Linked DNA regions of Caenorhabditis elegans. The protein of the gene in region 1 interacts with the protein of each later gene in a pairwise test. Each region holds a gene or a part of one and is shown in the gene's direction. Other genes may lie near its edges.

Region 1 (3,768 bases):
GAAAGACTGGCTAGCCAGCTGTCTCAAAAGTTTGGAAGTTTTATAACAATTTTTTCTGATATTTTTGGTCTTATGAACATGTAAAGATAAATTTTCTTTAAAAGATAATTTTTACGTCGAATTAGAAAAAAAATCGAGAAAAAATCGCAATGTTCTAGAAGTCTTTTCCGGTTAATGACGTCATAAAGTTTAAAGCTTAATATTTGAATGGGCGCCTTTTTTATATTGGCTGCATAGCTACTCACCTACACATCAATATATAATTGATACGGAGTCATTAAAAAGTTAAATGTTTTCAACTTTCATTTGGAATTTGAAAGATCATTCAAGTTGGTATTTAAAAATTAGAAAAAGTCAAACCTGCAGAAGAACTTGGGGTCCCCAGTTTTCCTGTATCATAAACCGAACACCTTCAATGACCAATCCGTACATTTTGCGGGTTGATTTCTGCTAGAAGATGTTTGAAAATGCTGACTAAAATCTGAATAAGGTGTTTCCACTACCAACATCTTCCAACTTCCGTGCCAGTTTCCGTTAGCTGTACACTGTTGCCCCCTATTTTAATAATCTCATCTTCGATTCGTAATATCCATTAGCTCACCTCTCCCCCTTTCCCTTGAAATACAAATGTCTGCGTCTCTCCCCGCTCGTTGCTCTTTAGGTCTCCCACCTTTTCCTCTATGTAAGGCAATGGTCAAGAGACCGCACAACACAGTGGTTCATGTGTGTATCCCTTACCCCTCCACAGAGACACAGCATAGACGGAGAGAGTCTAGGAGACCGAGGAGAGCAGTATACTTGTCAAGGCTAATTCTCATGCGTTAGGGCCGTGCCCCATTGGCGCAGTCGGTTAGCGCGTGGTACTTATAGTCTATAGGTTATGCCAAGGTCGCCAGTTCGAGCCTGGCATGGGGCAGATTATTTTTGTTTTATTTGAGGTGTCTAAAGTAGTTTAAACGACATTTGTAGCCCCTATTTCGTGTTTTGTAGTGAAATGTAGTCTGTTTGATTTGTGGGAGTTGGAATCGATCTTCTACGAACCTGTGATAAGAATAGTGATAACCTAAACATTGACGTACATGCATCTTTATGATAAACATGTCATATGACAAGTTAAGCAGGTCAAAGTTAATAGCTCGATGTATTCTAGTTAGTATAACAGCTAACACACCAGAGCCAAACTAGCAAAATCTGTTTGAATGTTTGTTTTTAAATTAAATATCAAACATTAATTAAAACAAAATTGATAGACTGGTATGTACTTTAATCCAGATCGTCAATGCCATGCAATCTCGCATTATGGTCGCGTGTGACGTCACATTATCTTAAAACACGGATGTTTTTTTCGGGAACCGAAAAAACGAGCTGATAATTGTAAGGAAACTATTTTCAGTTTAAAATTGTACTGCTGGAAAGTTGATATGACCAGGATAGTACGAAAATACACCTATTAAAATGTTCGAAGAATTATTGGAACAGTCTATTACTAGGGATTATATTTAAAGGCATAACACTATGAGAGCACAAAATATAATATTCTTTAATCACCTCTACAACTCGTTAACCCTGCAAATTTTCGCTTTCAAAGTCCAAGTTTAAGCAAATAATTTGAATTCTCCCGCAAACATGCACGTGTCTAATCAGGCCTTTCACTTCGAAATGAAACCGGAGCTAGTAGCGAAATGCCTAATTCTTATCAGCAATATTCGAGAAAACGCCAAACTTCAAAAGTTATCAGTCGCTTGAAACGAAAAAACTATAAAACCCCTGGTAAGCGCTTGATAAATTGGTCGACTGTCGAATTTCCCAATTCTCCAGCCAATCGAAAAATGGTAAGGCTTAATTTTCCTGAAGTTTAACTTCAGTTTCAAAAACTTTTCAATTTCAGAAAACTGCAATTGCTGCTCTTCTTGTCGGCCTTGTCGCCGTCAACGCCTACAATGTTGAGGTTAAGCACGGAGATGCCATTCCAGTTGAAGCTCAAATGCTTCGTGGACAGGAACTTGTTGATTACGTCAACAAGGTTCAGACTTCCTTCAAGGCTGAGCTCGGATCATACTTCAGCTCTTACCCAGATACCATTAAGAAGCAATTGATGGGAGCTAAGATGGTCGAGATCCCAGAAGAGTACAGAGTTAGTAAATTTGAATATTTTAAAGATTTTGAAAAACGCTTCCCAAAAAATACAGATTTCTTTCAAACTAATTTATCCTAATGAAATTGTTTCCAGGTTTTCGAGATGACTCATCCAGAAGTCGAGGATGCTGCTGTTCCAGACTCATTCGATTCCCGTACCGCATGGCCAAACTGCCCATCCATCTCCAAGATCCGTGATCAATCATCCTGTGGATCGTGCTGGGCTGTCTCTGCTGCTGAAACTATTTCTGATCGTATTTGCATTGCGTCAAATGCCAAAACTATCCTTTCCATCTCTGCTGACGATATCAATGCTTGCTGTGGAATGGTCTGTGGAAATGGATGCAATGGTGGATATCCAATTGAAGCCTGGCGTCACTATGTTAAGAAGGGATACGTTACCGGAGGATCTTATCAAGATAAGACTGGATGCAAGCCATACCCATATCCACCATGTGAACATCACGTCAATGGAACTCATTACAAGCCATGCCCATCCAACATGTACCCAACTGACAAATGCGAACGCTCTTGCCAAGCTGGATATGCTCTCACCTACCAACAAGATCTTCACTTCGGACAATCTGCATACGCCGTCTCAAAGAAGGCTGCTGAAATCCAAAAGGAAATCATGACTCATGGTCCAGTTGAGGTTGCATTCACTGTCTACGAAGATTTTGAGCATTACTCCGGAGGAGTCTACGTTCATACCGCTGGAGCCAGTCTTGGAGGACATGCCGTAAAGATGCTCGGATGGGGAGTTGATAATGGAACACCATATTGGCTCTGTGCCAACTCATGGAATGAGGATTGGGGAGAGAACGGATATTTCCGTATCATTCGTGGAGTTAACGAGTGCGGAATTGAGGGAGGAGTCGTCGGAGGAATTCCAAAATTGTAAATCTCGAAACATTGTGTTTGTGATTGCAACTTCAATGCCTATTGTACAATATGTATTCGATTTATAAATATTTGAATTATTCTTATATTTTCTGTTAACATTTGCATACAAACTTGAATTACATATTTTTTTGTCAAGATTAATTCGAATTCTGTTTCTTTTGTTCCAAAATTCAAATTGTTTGAAAAGGGTTATTATAATATAATGCACAGAACTTGTACTCCCAAAAAATTGTATGAAAAATATATGTTCATTGAACAGATAGTAAACGAACAAAACAAAACAAAGTAATGACATAAAAAATAAAAAGGGATAATGAAAATACAGAATATGCAATAAGTAGATACTGCATCATAAGAACAAAATCAGTTGGAAGACTTGTTAAATCAGATACTCCCAATGGCCAATGATTTGTTGATAACATTAAAATCTTTGACATTCGATTATGAGTTTCTGATTTTATCATATCAATATCATTTCCAAAAAGACTTCGATCCATTACTTGACTTATTTCCACTGATTCTATTGCTGCTGAAATAATGTGATTTTTTTAAATTTTAAACTTTTCAAACTAAAACTCACTTTTCATAAAAACTGAATATTTTGGGAATATAAAATTTGGCACAATAATGACAAGCAGCAGAATGGCAACACATTTAGACAATGCCTTTGATGGATTGAGAATAGCTGTCAGACATATAAAACCGACGATCAGAGCAAATATGGGAAAT
Region 2 (3,768 bases), on another chromosome or scaffold:
GGGAATCGACAGTATCAAGAATAACTTCAAATGGTGCATGCTCAATCAATTCCTGAGTCGCCTGGTCTGATGTGTAGTCGACTGGAATTGCACCAAGTTGCTTCACAATATCGAAACTACAATTTTTATTTGAAAAATTGCAAAGATATAGATAATCTAACCTGCCCTTTGCACACGTTGCCACTATCTTTTCACATCCCCATGCTTTCAATAGCTGGATTGCCATACTTCCAACTCCTCCGGCTCCTCCATGAATCAAAACTCTTTGTTGTTTGGCATTTCGTTGTGAGACCCTGGCTATTGTAAAAGCTGAGTAGGCTGTCGATGCGACGTAAGGAAGTGCGGCAGCTGATACAAAGCTCAAATTGCTGGGCTTTTTAGAGCAATACTTCGAATCAGTGACAACAAACTCGGCATGTGTGCCTGGAAGAATTACAGGAACAACAGCCATAACCTGAAAACATACGATATTTAATCATGAATCGATGCATAATAGGATTTCGTTACCTCATCACCGGGAGCTAAATTGTGCACATCGCCACCAACAGATTCTACAACAGCTGTACAATCTCTTCCTGGAATTAGAGGGAATCTAGACGCGGCTGCATCACAGGACTCTATTTTTTTCCACGTCCCTAGGAATTCTCTACCGTATCCTTGAGACATGTCAACATCGATCGGATTAACAGACGCTGCCTACAAATATTTAAATTGCTTGAATCAAGAAATATTAATCTCACTTTAACTTTTAGAAGGACTTGTCCTGGTTTGTTTATGACTGGAAGCGGCACTTCTTTGAGCTCAACTCCAGATCCGTTTTCAGAGACCCATGCACGCATCGTTGATGATTTTGTTGAGAAAAATCTTCGTAGAATCATTTTTTCGATCATTTTGCTGAAAATTTCATGTGGAAATAACTTTTTTCTGATAAAAACAAATAAAACTGCACGAAGACTTCAAGTGTCGTAAAATTAAATGCCTTCTGTGTGGTTCACCGCGACGCTAAATTGCACAAATCATCCTTTTCAAAATTTCTCGTTCTTTTGGATTCTTTATCATTTACTGAAGGCTAAAAAGCTTATTATTGTTTTTTTTTAAGTTTATATTCAAAATTTTTTATCTTGAGAACTCATTAAAGATATTTTGAAGATAGTAACACAAATTTTAAACTTTTTTAAATAATATTTAGCTAGCCAAAACAGATTTTGTGGACGGAACGTAAACCTAATAGTAAGCTAAATACTGACGTAACCTTTGGGCCATCGTGAAATTATCAAGTCAAACTTTCTTTTATTCTAATCATTATTTCTCGTGATAAACACTTTCTCTCATTGTCACTCGCTCAATACACATTAGCGTTCGTTTAATTTTTTGAACTAAATATTCTCATTTACACCGCATTGTGTTACTGATTTTATTTTATTGTCCAGAACTTTGACTTTGCGTTATTCTCTGGAACTACTTTTCAGATCTCACCAGAAGCAATTACAACTAATTTTCAGGCCCCAGAAGCAGTACAATGTCGCAAACACCACCGCCAAAAGACGGAAAAAACCCAGAGGCAATGGAGGTGGAGGATGCTATTGATGAGGAGATTCTGAAAATGTCGACGGAAGATCTCAAAAGCCGTACCCACTTGTTGGACAACGAGATTCGTATTATGAGAAGTGAAGTTCAACGTATCAATCATTCTGCAACCACTCTCAAAGAACGGATCAAGGAGAATACTGAACGTATCAAAGTTAACAAAACTCTTCCGTACTTGGTGTCCAACGTTGTCGAACTTCTTGATCTCGAGGATAATACAGAAGAAGAAGGCGCAAATGTTGATCTCGATGCCCAAAAAACCAAGTGCGCAGTCATTAAGACTTCCACTCGTGCCACATATTTCTTACCAGTTGTTGGACTTGTCGATCCAGATGAGTTGAAGCCAGGAGATCTCGTTGGTGTCAATAAGGATTCATATTTGATTCTTGAAAAATTACCAGCAGAATATGATTCTCGTGTGAAGGCTATGGAAGTTGACGAACGGCCAACTGAACAATATTCCGATATCGGAGGATGTGACAAGCAAATTCAGGAGCTGATTGAAGCTGTTGTGCTTCCAATGACTCACAAGGATCGATTTGTTAATTTGGGTATTCATCCTCCAAAGGGTGTGCTCATGTATGGACCACCAGGTAAGATTACGAAAAATTTTTGATAAAGTAGTACTCCTAGAAAATAACCATTTTAATTACAACAGCTCAAGTGTAAATTATTCGTTTTTCAGGAACTGGTAAAACGATGATGGCCCGTGCGGTTGCTGCCCAAACTAAATCAACATTCTTGAAGCTCGCAGGCCCACAACTTGTTCAGATGTTCATTGGAGATGGAGCCAAGCTTGTTCGTGATGCTTTTGCTCTTGCTAAGGAAAAGGCTCCAGCTATTATTTTCATTGATGAGTTGGATGCCATTGGTACGAAGCGATTCGATTCAGAGAAAGCTGGAGATCGTGAAGTGCAACGTACCATGTTGGAACTTCTTAATCAACTTGATGGCTTCCAACCAAATGATGATATCAAGGTAAGCTGAGTTCCATTTTAAGTTATATTTTTAAGACGGTATAAGCTGTAAATATGAATTTAAGGTCATTGCTGCAACGAACCGTATCGATGTGCTCGATCCCGCTCTTCTTCGTTCTGGTCGTCTCGATCGTAAAATTGAGCTTCCCCATCCGAACGAGGATGCCCGTGCCAGAATCATGCAGATTCATTCCAGGAAGATGAATGTCAAGTATGTTTTCGCGACAGTTTTATTTGTAAAATTTAGTCTAATTAATTTTTTTCAGCAAGGATGTAAACTTTGAAGAACTGGCCCGCTGTACCGATGACTTCAACGGAGCACAATGCAAAGCGGTTTGTGTTGAAGCTGGAATGATTGCTCTTCGACGAGATGCTACTGAGATTCTTCATGAAGACTTTATGGATGCTATTCTGGAGGTCCAGGCAAAGAAAAAGGCGTCCCTCAATTACTACGCTTAATCCTTCACTCCCGGTTGTCACTGTGTTCCCTTTGAATCGCTCCCGAATTTTCTCACGCGATTTTTTCTTACTTTCATCTTTCGTATTCTATTCCCACCCCTCTCCTGTTTTTATTGATTCATCCTCGAAGTGCGTGGATTCCTAATTTATTTCCGATCAATGTGCATAAATGGTCACTCTTCGAAATGTGTTTCTTTCACTGTTTCAACATTCTGCGTGCTCTTCAAACATTTAGCGAGACATCTCAAATTGTAACTTGACCGATCCAGAAGTCAGTACTGACGTCAGTGAAACGTATGCAGAGAAAAGCTAAAGTGCAATCGCGCCCCAGTGCCAAATGGAAACGCTCCGCCTCTTTCATTTGGGTCTCGTTAGATAGAAAGTATTTTCTTTTTTGAAAATATTTATCAATTGAAATATCTTTACAATTACTGTTATCAATTTCATTATTGAATAATGCGAAGTGTATCAGATAATTATTTAGTAGTTGCACATGAAATTGGGGATCCTGTAAGCATCGAATCTTCGGAACCAACACCTCTTTTGAACCACTCTCCATCGATGCAGAAAAGTTCGGAAAGTATAAAGGGATTTTTCTCGAGCTGTAAATATTTGTATTTCATTGATTATCTTTCTGAAATAATTTTAATCTTACAGGTGGTGTATCTGTTACCAATTCTTTTGTCTTATGACTATATGCTACTACTTTTGATTGCGGAGGACACAAAGCAGAAATTGCATTACA
Region 3 (4,987 bases), on another chromosome or scaffold:
CCGTCATCCTATCATCGCCTTTTTCGTCCTTTTCCCTATAATCAGACTATCGGTGAACGAGGAGAGAAATGTCAATAAACAAATTGATTAATCATCTTTGACAGGTGCCGGTGACCGGAAAATCCGTCATATCATAGTGTGAGGCAATCCGTTTTGAAAAAAATTCTATTGTGTTTGCAAAGTTAAACAGTTTTCAATATTCGTGTAATCTTAATTTTTTGTTTAGTGAGATTCATTTAAAAAAAGTAGTTCGAAATTTCAACGTTCCTCTAGATTCCTGACCACTTTCATTCTTAAACCGAATTATAACACATAACATCATGCACAAACATTATCATAATCTGTTGTATTTCCATCTTTATTTCTTATCACTTTTCGCATCTGTAGTTCGTTACAATTTTACGAGTTCTCGCTCATTCTCACTCCCGACTATCTTTCATTCCATTCCTCTCGATATTTATATTCATAATAAATAAATGCACTATAAATTTCTCCATCATCATTTTGCCTAGATTAATTCAACAATTGCATTTGGAGAGTAGCATATGTTTTCAGAATTTGTTCAAAATCACCTAGAATTCATCAATCAAGTCTGGAGTTTAAAAAAAAACCTAAGCTTTTATCCTCATCTTTTCACAAAACATCATCATTAACCGTTACTAAAGTATGCAACTATTAATCTGCTACTGCTTGTTGTTGTTTTGTATACATATCATGTTGTATTACATGTTGCTGGTCGACATCTCCTGTGAATTTAGTTTTACATTTTATTAGTTTTTTTGCACCTCTGAATACTATATTTTTATCATTAATAAAATAATATAATATCTAAATTCAAACAAATTCGAATTGTTTCTGTGCCAAAAACTATTCACGTTATGAATTGGTAACACTGAAAACTTCAGATGATGTTTTTAAAATATTTTTTTTTAAATATTTTTAAACTCAAAATTGGAACTATTTCAATTTCAGGGGTGCGCGACATTTGGTAATTTTGAAAACATTGGAAATAAAAATTACAGGAATTGCCGGATTTTGTTGGCAATCTTGTAACCTAACAAATTTAAGCTTGAAATGTCATGTGTATTTTAGTAGAGTTTTTTTGTCATCCGTTTGCTTGAGATAATTCAAAAATTTTAGAATTTGAGATACTTTTTTTTTCCAATTCCCGCGCACCTCTGTAGATCACAAAACTTGTTTTGTAATTAACTTTGTCATTTTATTAAAAGAATGTAACTTCTATATGAAGAGTATTTATTGTATTTAACAAAGAAATACGAATAATTTTGATTTTCTAACCAAGCCCAATGTTTTACTAGCTTGAAGTTTGATGTAACTCCATTATTGCACAGTAATCTGTGGTGTGAAACTGGCACGTATGTATGATTGAAATCACTAGAGAGATAAAAGAAGATAAAAGATTTTGCAAAAGTGGTTTAGTGCGGCACAAGCAATTGTTATGCGCTACCAACTTGTCTTCGTGTTCGCCAGAACTCACGAGCAAACACCACACTCTCTTCTCTTCTTGACAGTACAAAGAAATTGGCACATAATAGAAACCTGAGAGCTCTTTACTTCTTCCGTAGCACATCCTTCTTTTGTTTTTCGCTCATTTTCGTGTGTGTTATTCTCCCATCATCGTATTTTTTCACTACATATGCATAAAGTTGTTGATACATCATAGTCTGAATCATGGAACATCTCGTGGTCGCACATGTCTCCTTCTTCAAATTTTTTATTCAACAAAACAATGATTTCAAATTGTTGTATAAAAAACTAACCAAGCCTTTTTAAATTGCTAAGTTTCCGTTCAACAATTCATGTTCCTATTGAATCATTTTTTATTGTTGAAACCCATTATTCTACATTCAGCAATATGTAGGCAATTTGATTGAAATTCTATCCGCTTTTCCAAAAAGGAATGATGAAAATTTTAAAGGTTTTTTTTTCAGAATTGTATGGACATAGAAAATCTACAATCGTCAAACAACAGGTCACAGAAAAGTCGTCCTCCGGACGGCTTCAACGCCATCTTACAGACAGCATTTTCTGCTATTTTGGTGAGTATTTTTGCCATAATTTTAATACAAGTTAATACTAAATTAAAAATACTCCTATTAAATTTTTTAACTTAAAGGTAAAGTTAGGCCAAAACGAGATTTTCATTCGAGAAGAGATATTCATTCAGATTTCGCGCCTTTCTCGAAAATTGTCAAAATTCGTAAATATTGGATAATAATTAAAAAAATTTTTGAAGTTTCACGATGATTTTTTTTCAGTCCATCTTTATATTTATATCACATCCCTCTATATGATATTGAATCTGACATATGTTTTCTTTAAAATAAGCGTTCAGCCTGAGACCCTTCCCTCTCTCAATTATAATAAGAACAAAAGGGTATCAAAAATGCGGATCTTTTTCTTTAAATCGTGTCAAATTTCTCACAGTTTCCCGTGTTATTTCCAAGCATATTCTTCTTTTTACACCGGGCTTTCCGCTCTCAGAATTTATTAAATTCAAAATGTTTCGCGTATGGGTGGCAGCAAAAGCGTGCAATTGTGGATCTCGTACATTCGCTTGCAGACATGACCACCACACTTCCACTTTTTTCTAATAATCATTGCATTTCGGATACTAATTGCGTCTTGTGGTTGTCGGGTGGCCCTTCAACCGTCTCATTACATAAGGGCCTTCGTTCCGATAACTTTTTGCCCTTTTGGCGATCTGAAAACTGAGAGGAAAGAGGAAAACTAGTCCAGTAGATACACTATCCATTCATTAGAGAAAATTTGAATTCTTGACGCCTTCACCATTCCATTTCAATTCCCACACACCTTCTTACAACAATTCACCAATTAATTTGCTTTCTGAATTCAGGCGTTTGTCCTCTCTCTACGTATAATTGTGTTCGCCACGGCCCGGAAACGACTTACCACCACGGCGGCAAATCCGGATATTCAGGTTGAGGAGGCGTCGTCTTCCTCATCCGATACCAGCTCCGACACCGAAATTGTAGAAGAGGGTGTATTTATACAGGTGAGACCTTTTCTTGATTGTTTTTTCTTTTCACAAGACATTATCAATTTTTTATACTTTTGCCGTATAGGTTAAAAACTGAGTTTTAACATTTAACGTCTTGAAAGCGGAATTTTGTTTTCATTCACATATGAATAATTGTCAAACACGATTAAATATCGTAATTACACACATTTTAAGTTTTCATGTTCTTCGGAAGAATTATTTTCGGGAGAATAAGAATTATTTTTGAAAAAATGTCTTGCTTTCAAATAATTTCTCAATTATTTTGGGCATTACTGGAGATTTGAACACAACAATGTATATATAAAAATAATATGAATCTCCTTAATGTGTAAAACTGACAGGACATGTATTTTTTGGTTGACTTCCAAATGATTTATTGAAACTAAGTAAATGTTACTTTGTTTTGATTTTGTGTGTGATTTAAAAATTATATACATTTTTGATATGTTTGTTGGCTATTTTCGGATAGTGTAAATGTCTTGATCATATTAATATGCTAGGGATACCCCACATTCGAACAGTTCCAGATGATATTGAATGAAGATAATTTTAATAATAGTGGTAACGGAATAGAATGTATACATTGTAAAATTATACAACTTTTGAGCAAAAATTCACAATTAATTTACTCACAACACATGTGTTATTCAAAATTGTACGTGAAGCAATAAATCAAAAATTTAATTATAAAAGTGTCAAAATTATTATTTCTTTCCTGAAATTTATCTAATAACCATGTCTTGATTATGAGTCACTGACTAGAAATTTGCTTATTTTTAGTTTAATTTACGTTACCTACCTTAGTATTCAGTTCTTAATTCGCATCTTTTCCCAATTCCACTTGGCCAATTTTCTTCAAATTACCAATTCTGAACCATCTAACTCAACTCATCAAATCTCGACTCATTCATTCCACCAGACTCTAGCAACCTTATTAAAACTGTTCAATTGTTCCGTTGGAGATGTCAAGAGGGGCAGAAAACAGAGAGGGTCACAGACGTTTGCCCTTCCTCCAAATCGTCTTGGCCACTAACCTCTGTCGTGTTTTTTAATGTGCTACTACCTGGCTTCTTATGTGGTATTTGTGGTGTATATGTTGAATTTGTGTTATACTTTTACTTTTCTATATTCACGAGTTTTATACAGTTTAGAATTTATTTGTTCAACTAAAAATCTGCAAATGTCTCGATTGTAATTACTTAGTATACTTAGTAGGTTTAACGAACTTGAACTTTTTAATTTTTACTTATATTTGTAGTGAATTGATTATTGTAGGGATTATTCGTGTTTTAAATTTGAAAAAAAAAACACTTGTACCCTCTTGCTCCACCTTGGCAGTACTTGGGTAATTTTTGTTTTTATCAAAAAAAAATAAAATAGTCAAAATAGTCAACTAAGAAATATTAAATTCAACATAATTTTTTTCTTTGATAAACCCAAGGAGAACCGAAGTGTAAGCCGACAACTCAATAGTGAAAGTGAATTTTACTTTTACATAATTTTCCTTAGTGAAACTAAGTTGCGGAAAATTTTCTCAAACGATGCCAACTGGGAAAAGTCGAGTAAAAAGATACTGCCGTGCACTGCACGGTATACAAAAAGGAGATGCACCAACCTCAGCCACCTTGTCAATACACACAAATATGCATATACGTACCAGCTAACGCATATAAAAAGCCCTGTTTATTCAGATGATTCACACAAAACAACCCCGCCAGCTCTTCTGCCTTTTTGCCCCTTTTTCTTTTTTCTCTGTACATCGTTGTGTTCATATAATACAATATGTTTGATTTTTTGACTTTTGCATCCATCTCTATTCCTCTTCAAGTCACCAATCTTTCGCACTTTTTGTTTTTTCTTTATGTCTCGGGATTTCTTCATTTTCTGGTCATTTGTCATCAAATCATTGTACCGTCACTACCAATTAGTCATCATATCCGTTCA
Region 4 (4,973 bases), on another chromosome or scaffold:
GAAATTTTTTTCAAAAATTGTACCGAAAATATTCAGAACAGACATTAGGAATATTATTTTTAACAACCTATTAGTTGTTCTCTTGAAGGTTGGCTACTGCCAGTGGGGAATGTGTAAAATAATTCCTATGCTGTGACCAAATGACTAAATGTCATAATAAAATTGTCAAAAAATTTGGAAATTATGGAATTTTTCTTCGATTTTTTGACTTAATTATGTTTAAAATACTTATATTCCAACATTGTGGAGATTCAAACATGCGACAGTGATTTAGATTTTTCAAATTTGACTCGAAATAAAAAATTCCAAAATTTTTTGAAAATCTTTATAACGAGATTCGGTAATTTCAACAGCATATGAATAGTTTTTAATAATTTCCCCATTAGTCGTAGTCCACTTTTAACTTTAATTAATAATTAAAACCATTAAGGTTTAAAACCGAATTTCAAAAAAAAATTTCGATATAGAAGACTAAGAATAAAATATAACTTTAAAGAAAGAAGTTATGAAAGTTTTTGTGAGTAAAATGAGTACCAATGTGTATTTTGGGAGGCACGGGGTTGGTGATGAACATTATGTGTTGTATTACGCATGCCATAGACCAGTTTTGCGCGGATTGCATGATCAAGTCGATTGACTTTTCGTCTTTTTCGATTAAATTGATAACCGATCCAGAATAATACTTATATAATTTCATTGAATTACAAAATTCAAATGAGTTAGTAAAAAACTAGAACATTCAGTAAAATTTCAAAGCTATTTGCAAACCACAAACTTGAAATTTGAAAAAAATCAAACATGGAAACTCTAGACAGTGTACACAGGACAAATTACACTGATTAATCTATATCAACTCGCCAAGTTTACAAAATTTCGTCGAAAAACTGATAAGCACATGCAAAAATTCGTGTGAATTGGCTCTAGATAGAAAAATATGAATTGGCTCTAGATAGAAAAAATAACTAAATCGATAATGTTTCGTGTCGTTTTCGATGTATTTTTATGGCTCGCTATCGGCAGCAGCTACCGCTTGTGGCTGTTGTTGGGCCCCTTTTTGACGAATTAGGTGAAGAGAATCGAACGGAAATGAAAATTTATATGAACACAGAGTGGAAGAGTGGTGAGAGAGAGAGAAAAGAACGAAAAGCAGGTGGAATCAACAATGAAAGTGCAAACAATTGTGCTTATAAACAATTTGGATTTGGATTTTTTTTCAACAATTTTTAAAAATTCTATTACGATGAGAAGTAAGAAATATGAATGGAATAAATAGAAGTCTGAACAAATTTTTTTGAAAACGAAAAATTGAACATTTTGTTACGAAGCGTTTTCAGGTTCTAAAGTATTATTTTTTAGGAAAAAACATTAAAAACGTCCCAGTAATCTACTTTTAATAATTTTGAACTAATTATTGAGTAACATTTAGTTTTAAAAGTTTAGAAAAAGCATGGACACTGAAAATTAAAAAAAAACATGTTTAAACAGAGAAAAAAATTTGAAAGATTAAAGGAGCGCGCGATTTGTAGCATGAGGGTCTGCCACGAATTCTACAGTTGTTCAGATCATTTTTTTTGAATTATTCCACAATCTTTCTTCTCTTTGGAATTTAATTTTTCTCGAAAGTTATTTAATTTTTCTATAAAAATGTGCATTGCAGTTTTAAAATGTTTTTTTTTTCAATTAAACGCATGAATGTGATTGGTACACGCGTGAGACGCAAGTTCTCGAAAATCTGCGATTGCGAAAGGCAAAAGTATTCATTTTTTCGAAAAAATAAACAAATTGCTCAAACTAAATTGAATATCGATCGTCTTTGCCCTCAATATTTTAAATATCACGCTTTTGAAAATTATTTCGAAATAAATATTCAGTTTCAGTGAGACTCATTCAATTGAACCTGATCACGTGCTGAAAGTCTGCTGTAACAATGAAGGTTTGTTCGTTTTCCTATCTCTACTTTAATTAAAAATAGTGTTAAGAGTAATTGTTCATTCAAATAGATTTTTTTTCATTCAGTAAAAAATGATTAAGTTTTCGGAAAGGAAGAAAACAAAACAAAAACATAGAAAAAAGTGTGCACGAACGAACACACAAAGCATATGCGTCAGTGTCTTAACCCGTCTAATGTCTCTTCATCCCCCTACACTCTCTCTTTCAGTTCACCCGACTAACACATTCAACAAGCAAACCCGTTATTGATTCAATTTTCTTTCGTAATATTCCTTTTTTATATTTTCAGAAACAAAAGTCATTTCCAATGTCTGCTTATGAGGATTTGCTCGGAAAAATCACTGCTCCAACTATCACTGTTGAGAATTGGGAGGGAATTCTCGCATTTTGTGATATGGTTCGTTCAATTTGTTTTAAAAAATGTATAAACCTTTTCACTGATTTATAGATAGAATTCTTTGTCGTTTGATAAAAAATCATATTTTAAAATTAAAATTTCCTCCTTAAATTTGCTAGCTGATTTTCACCGAAAATCATTGATTTTGGACTAAACTTAATGTTTTAGTTTAAAATTTTCAGATTAATAACGACTTCGAGGGATCGAAAACAGGAATCAAATCACTTCGTAAACGTCTCAACAATCGTGATCCTCATGTTGTCCTTCTAGCGATTTCTGTACTTGATTCGTGTTGGGCAAACTGTGAAGAAAGATTCAGAAAGGAAGTATCGTCTGCACAATTTATCAATGAACTCAAAGCTCTTTGTACATCGGTGAGTTTTTGTTTAAATCTGAAATTGTTAAACAAAATATCAAAATTTCTTTCATGAAGTTTTGTATTTCTTTAATAGATATAGTATACGCAGAAAAGAGATAAAAAAGAGAAATAGAGTTAGAAAAATAAGTATAATACGAAAATACGATACATTTCACCGCGTTTACAAAAAAAAATACAAAAATTTACAATTATTATAGAGTCAACGCCAAGTTGCTGAAAAAATGCGATTAACTGTTCAAAAATGGGTGGATACAGAATGCAAAACTGAACAATCACTGTCACTTATCGTCACTCTTCACAAAAATCTTGTTGCTGATGGCTACTCATTTGTTGTGGATGATCCAAAAAGTAAAACGAAAGCGATTGATGCAAAGTTTGCAAATGATCCGAATTATGTGAGTTGTGGAAGTTCGCGGCAATAAATATCAAAAATTAATAATTATTATAGGTTGGATCTGCTCAGGAAGAAGAAGCAATCGCAAAAGCCATTGCTGCTTCATTGGCGGATGCAGAGAAACAGGAAAAAGCAAAAAAATCAACATCCACAATGTATCCATCAGCAAAAGCAAGTAGTCCAGCAGTTCAGACTAATTCGAATATTCCGGAAAAGAATGTTCGAGCGTTATACGATTTTGAGGCTGCTGAAAGCAATGAATTATCTTTTGTTGCTGGAGATATTATTACAATTACTGATGAAAGGTAAGCAACAAAAATGTGTTCTAGTTTAAATTGAAAGCAATCGCTTAAAAATCAAATCAGGAAGTTCTTCAGTTTTTTTTTTTGTAATTTAAAATTAATCATACCGAACCTTTTCGTTACTGACTGCTTCTATCAATTATCAAAAAAAAAACAATTTTTTGCAGCAATCCCCACTGGTGGACTGGTCGTATTGGTACCCAACAGGGACTTTTCCCATCCAGCTTCGTTACTAATCAACTCGATGATCTAAAATCAAAAGAGACGGATTCATCACAGAAAGCCCCAGAAGTTGTAGCCTCAATTAATGAAGCAATCCTTGTTCGTTGTCTTCAAGTACTCCATGAATGTGATCCTACCGGTGAACGACAGGATCCAGAGGATTTGGCCCAACTAGAAGCCGCCTCGTATGCTCAAGGAAATCTCATTGATGCACATTTGGCTAGTATTGATCGACAGAGCAACTCTCTAGCACAAATCGATGTGGCTATTCGTGATGTGCTCGCACTTTATGATGATGCGATTCAGAAGGGAGGATTTCAGCATCAAAGTCAAGGAATGTACCAACAACCAATGCAACAGTACAACTATCAGCAACCAGTCAGTTTTTATTCAGAAAAAAATATTTAGAAAACTGAAATTTTTCATTCTAAGCTTCACGGTAATGCCTATCAATTCAAAAAATCGTATTTTTCAGCCAAACCGAGCATATTACCCACCTACCGGTCCTGTCCAACAACAGCAGCCACAACAATATCCTCCACAACACTATCCGGCTCCTGGAGCACAACCACAGTACGCATGCCCACCGAATTCTGTTCCCCAACCTCAACAACAGCAACAACAATGGCCTGCTCCGTCTTCACAGCCTCAACAATATTAACTTTTTGATTTGTTGTGAATATCACCTTTTCCTCCTTGAATCTGTAACTAGTTCCATTGATATTGTGATCACTTCTAACTTATTTTTCTCGATTCGCCACCCGTTTCTGTATAGTCTTTTGCTTCCTCGAGTTCTCGATAAGATAAAAATGAATTCTTTATTGAGTTTGAGGCAAATATTTATTATACACGAAAATAATCGGATAAATTGAGAAAAGGTAACAAAAATTACAAGAGGTCCGGATCAAAAGATGGCATTGAAATTGATGCATTGGCTGCTCGAATGGATCGTTTACCCCATCCACCGCCTCCCCATCCACCTCCACCCCATCCACCTCTTCCACCACCCCATCTTGATCCTCCCCATGGATCATTGTTTCCCCATCCACCACCTCCATTTCCACCCCATCCTCCATTATCTCCGAAATCGTCACGTCCCCAACCTCCACGTGGTGGTTGACGAGATGGATTAGTCTGACGAACTTGTGCAACTGGAGCAACTGATCCAGCTGTAGTTCCACACATTCTACGAAGCTCTGATTGAGTATAGCAACTGTTACAGCTTGATCTACAATTCTCAGCCATCCATGGATTTTTCTGACATTCACCGACACGAGCCCATCCGGCACATGATCTATGGTAGTCGACGCATGCTGAAATATATATTTT

Evidence for each region.
Region 2: the proteins of cpr-9 (region 1) and rpt-5 interact in a two-hybrid assay, tested with the Caenorhabditis elegans proteins (one large-scale study listed by BioGRID).
Region 3: the proteins of cpr-9 (region 1) and ajm-1 interact in a two-hybrid assay, tested with the Caenorhabditis elegans proteins (one large-scale study listed by BioGRID).
Region 4: the proteins of cpr-9 (region 1) and stam-1 interact in a two-hybrid assay, tested with the Caenorhabditis elegans proteins (one large-scale study listed by BioGRID).

What each region holds. Positions count from the first base shown.
Region 1 is NC_003283.11:12,001,345-12,005,112, forward strand, and holds cpr-9 (Peptidase C1A papain C-terminal domain-containing protein), read left to right. Parts: upstream 1-1,708; 5' UTR 1,709-1,829; coding exon 1,830-1,832; intron 1,833-1,888; coding exon 1,889-2,134; intron 2,135-2,230; coding exon 2,231-3,037; 3' UTR 3,038-3,240; downstream 3,241-3,768. Other genes in the region: gcy-33 (guanylate cyclase), read right to left, coding at 361-432; F57F5.3 (ABC transmembrane type-1 domain-containing protein), read right to left, coding at 3,288-3,568, 3,620-3,768.
Region 2 is NC_003279.8:5,741,306-5,745,073, reverse strand, and holds rpt-5 (26S protease regulatory subunit 6A), read left to right. Parts: upstream 1-1,502; 5' UTR 1,503-1,519; coding exon 1,520-2,180; intron 2,181-2,272; coding exon 2,273-2,565; intron 2,566-2,629; coding exon 2,630-2,775; intron 2,776-2,830; coding exon 2,831-3,023; 3' UTR 3,024-3,206; downstream 3,207-3,768. Other genes in the region: rad-8 (Reticulon-4-interacting protein 1, mitochondrial), read right to left, coding at 1-116, 162-454, 508-696, 741-890. UniProt on the Caenorhabditis elegans protein: Component of the 26S proteasome, a multiprotein complex involved in the ATP-dependent degradation of ubiquitinated proteins.
Region 3 is NC_003284.9:9,081,025-9,086,011, forward strand, and holds the start of ajm-1 (Apical junction molecule ajm-1), read left to right. Parts: upstream 1-1,958; coding exon 1,959-2,060; intron 2,061-2,878; coding exon 2,879-3,037; intron 3,038-4,244; exon of another isoform or gene 4,245-4,447; intron 4,448-4,663; exon of another isoform or gene 4,664-4,805; intron 4,806-4,987.
Region 4 is NC_003279.8:5,901,594-5,906,566, reverse strand, and holds stam-1 (Signal transducing adapter molecule 1), read left to right. Parts: upstream 1-1,871; 5' UTR 1,872-1,927; coding exon 1,928-1,933; intron 1,934-2,239; coding exon 2,240-2,347; intron 2,348-2,529; coding exon 2,530-2,721; intron 2,722-2,923; coding exon 2,924-3,121; intron 3,122-3,174; coding exon 3,175-3,425; intron 3,426-3,589; coding exon 3,590-4,022; coding exon of another isoform or gene 4,023-4,052; intron 4,053-4,119; coding exon 4,120-4,305; 3' UTR 4,306-4,462; downstream 4,463-4,973. Other genes in the region: tyr-4 (ShKT domain-containing protein), read right to left, coding at 4,533-4,957.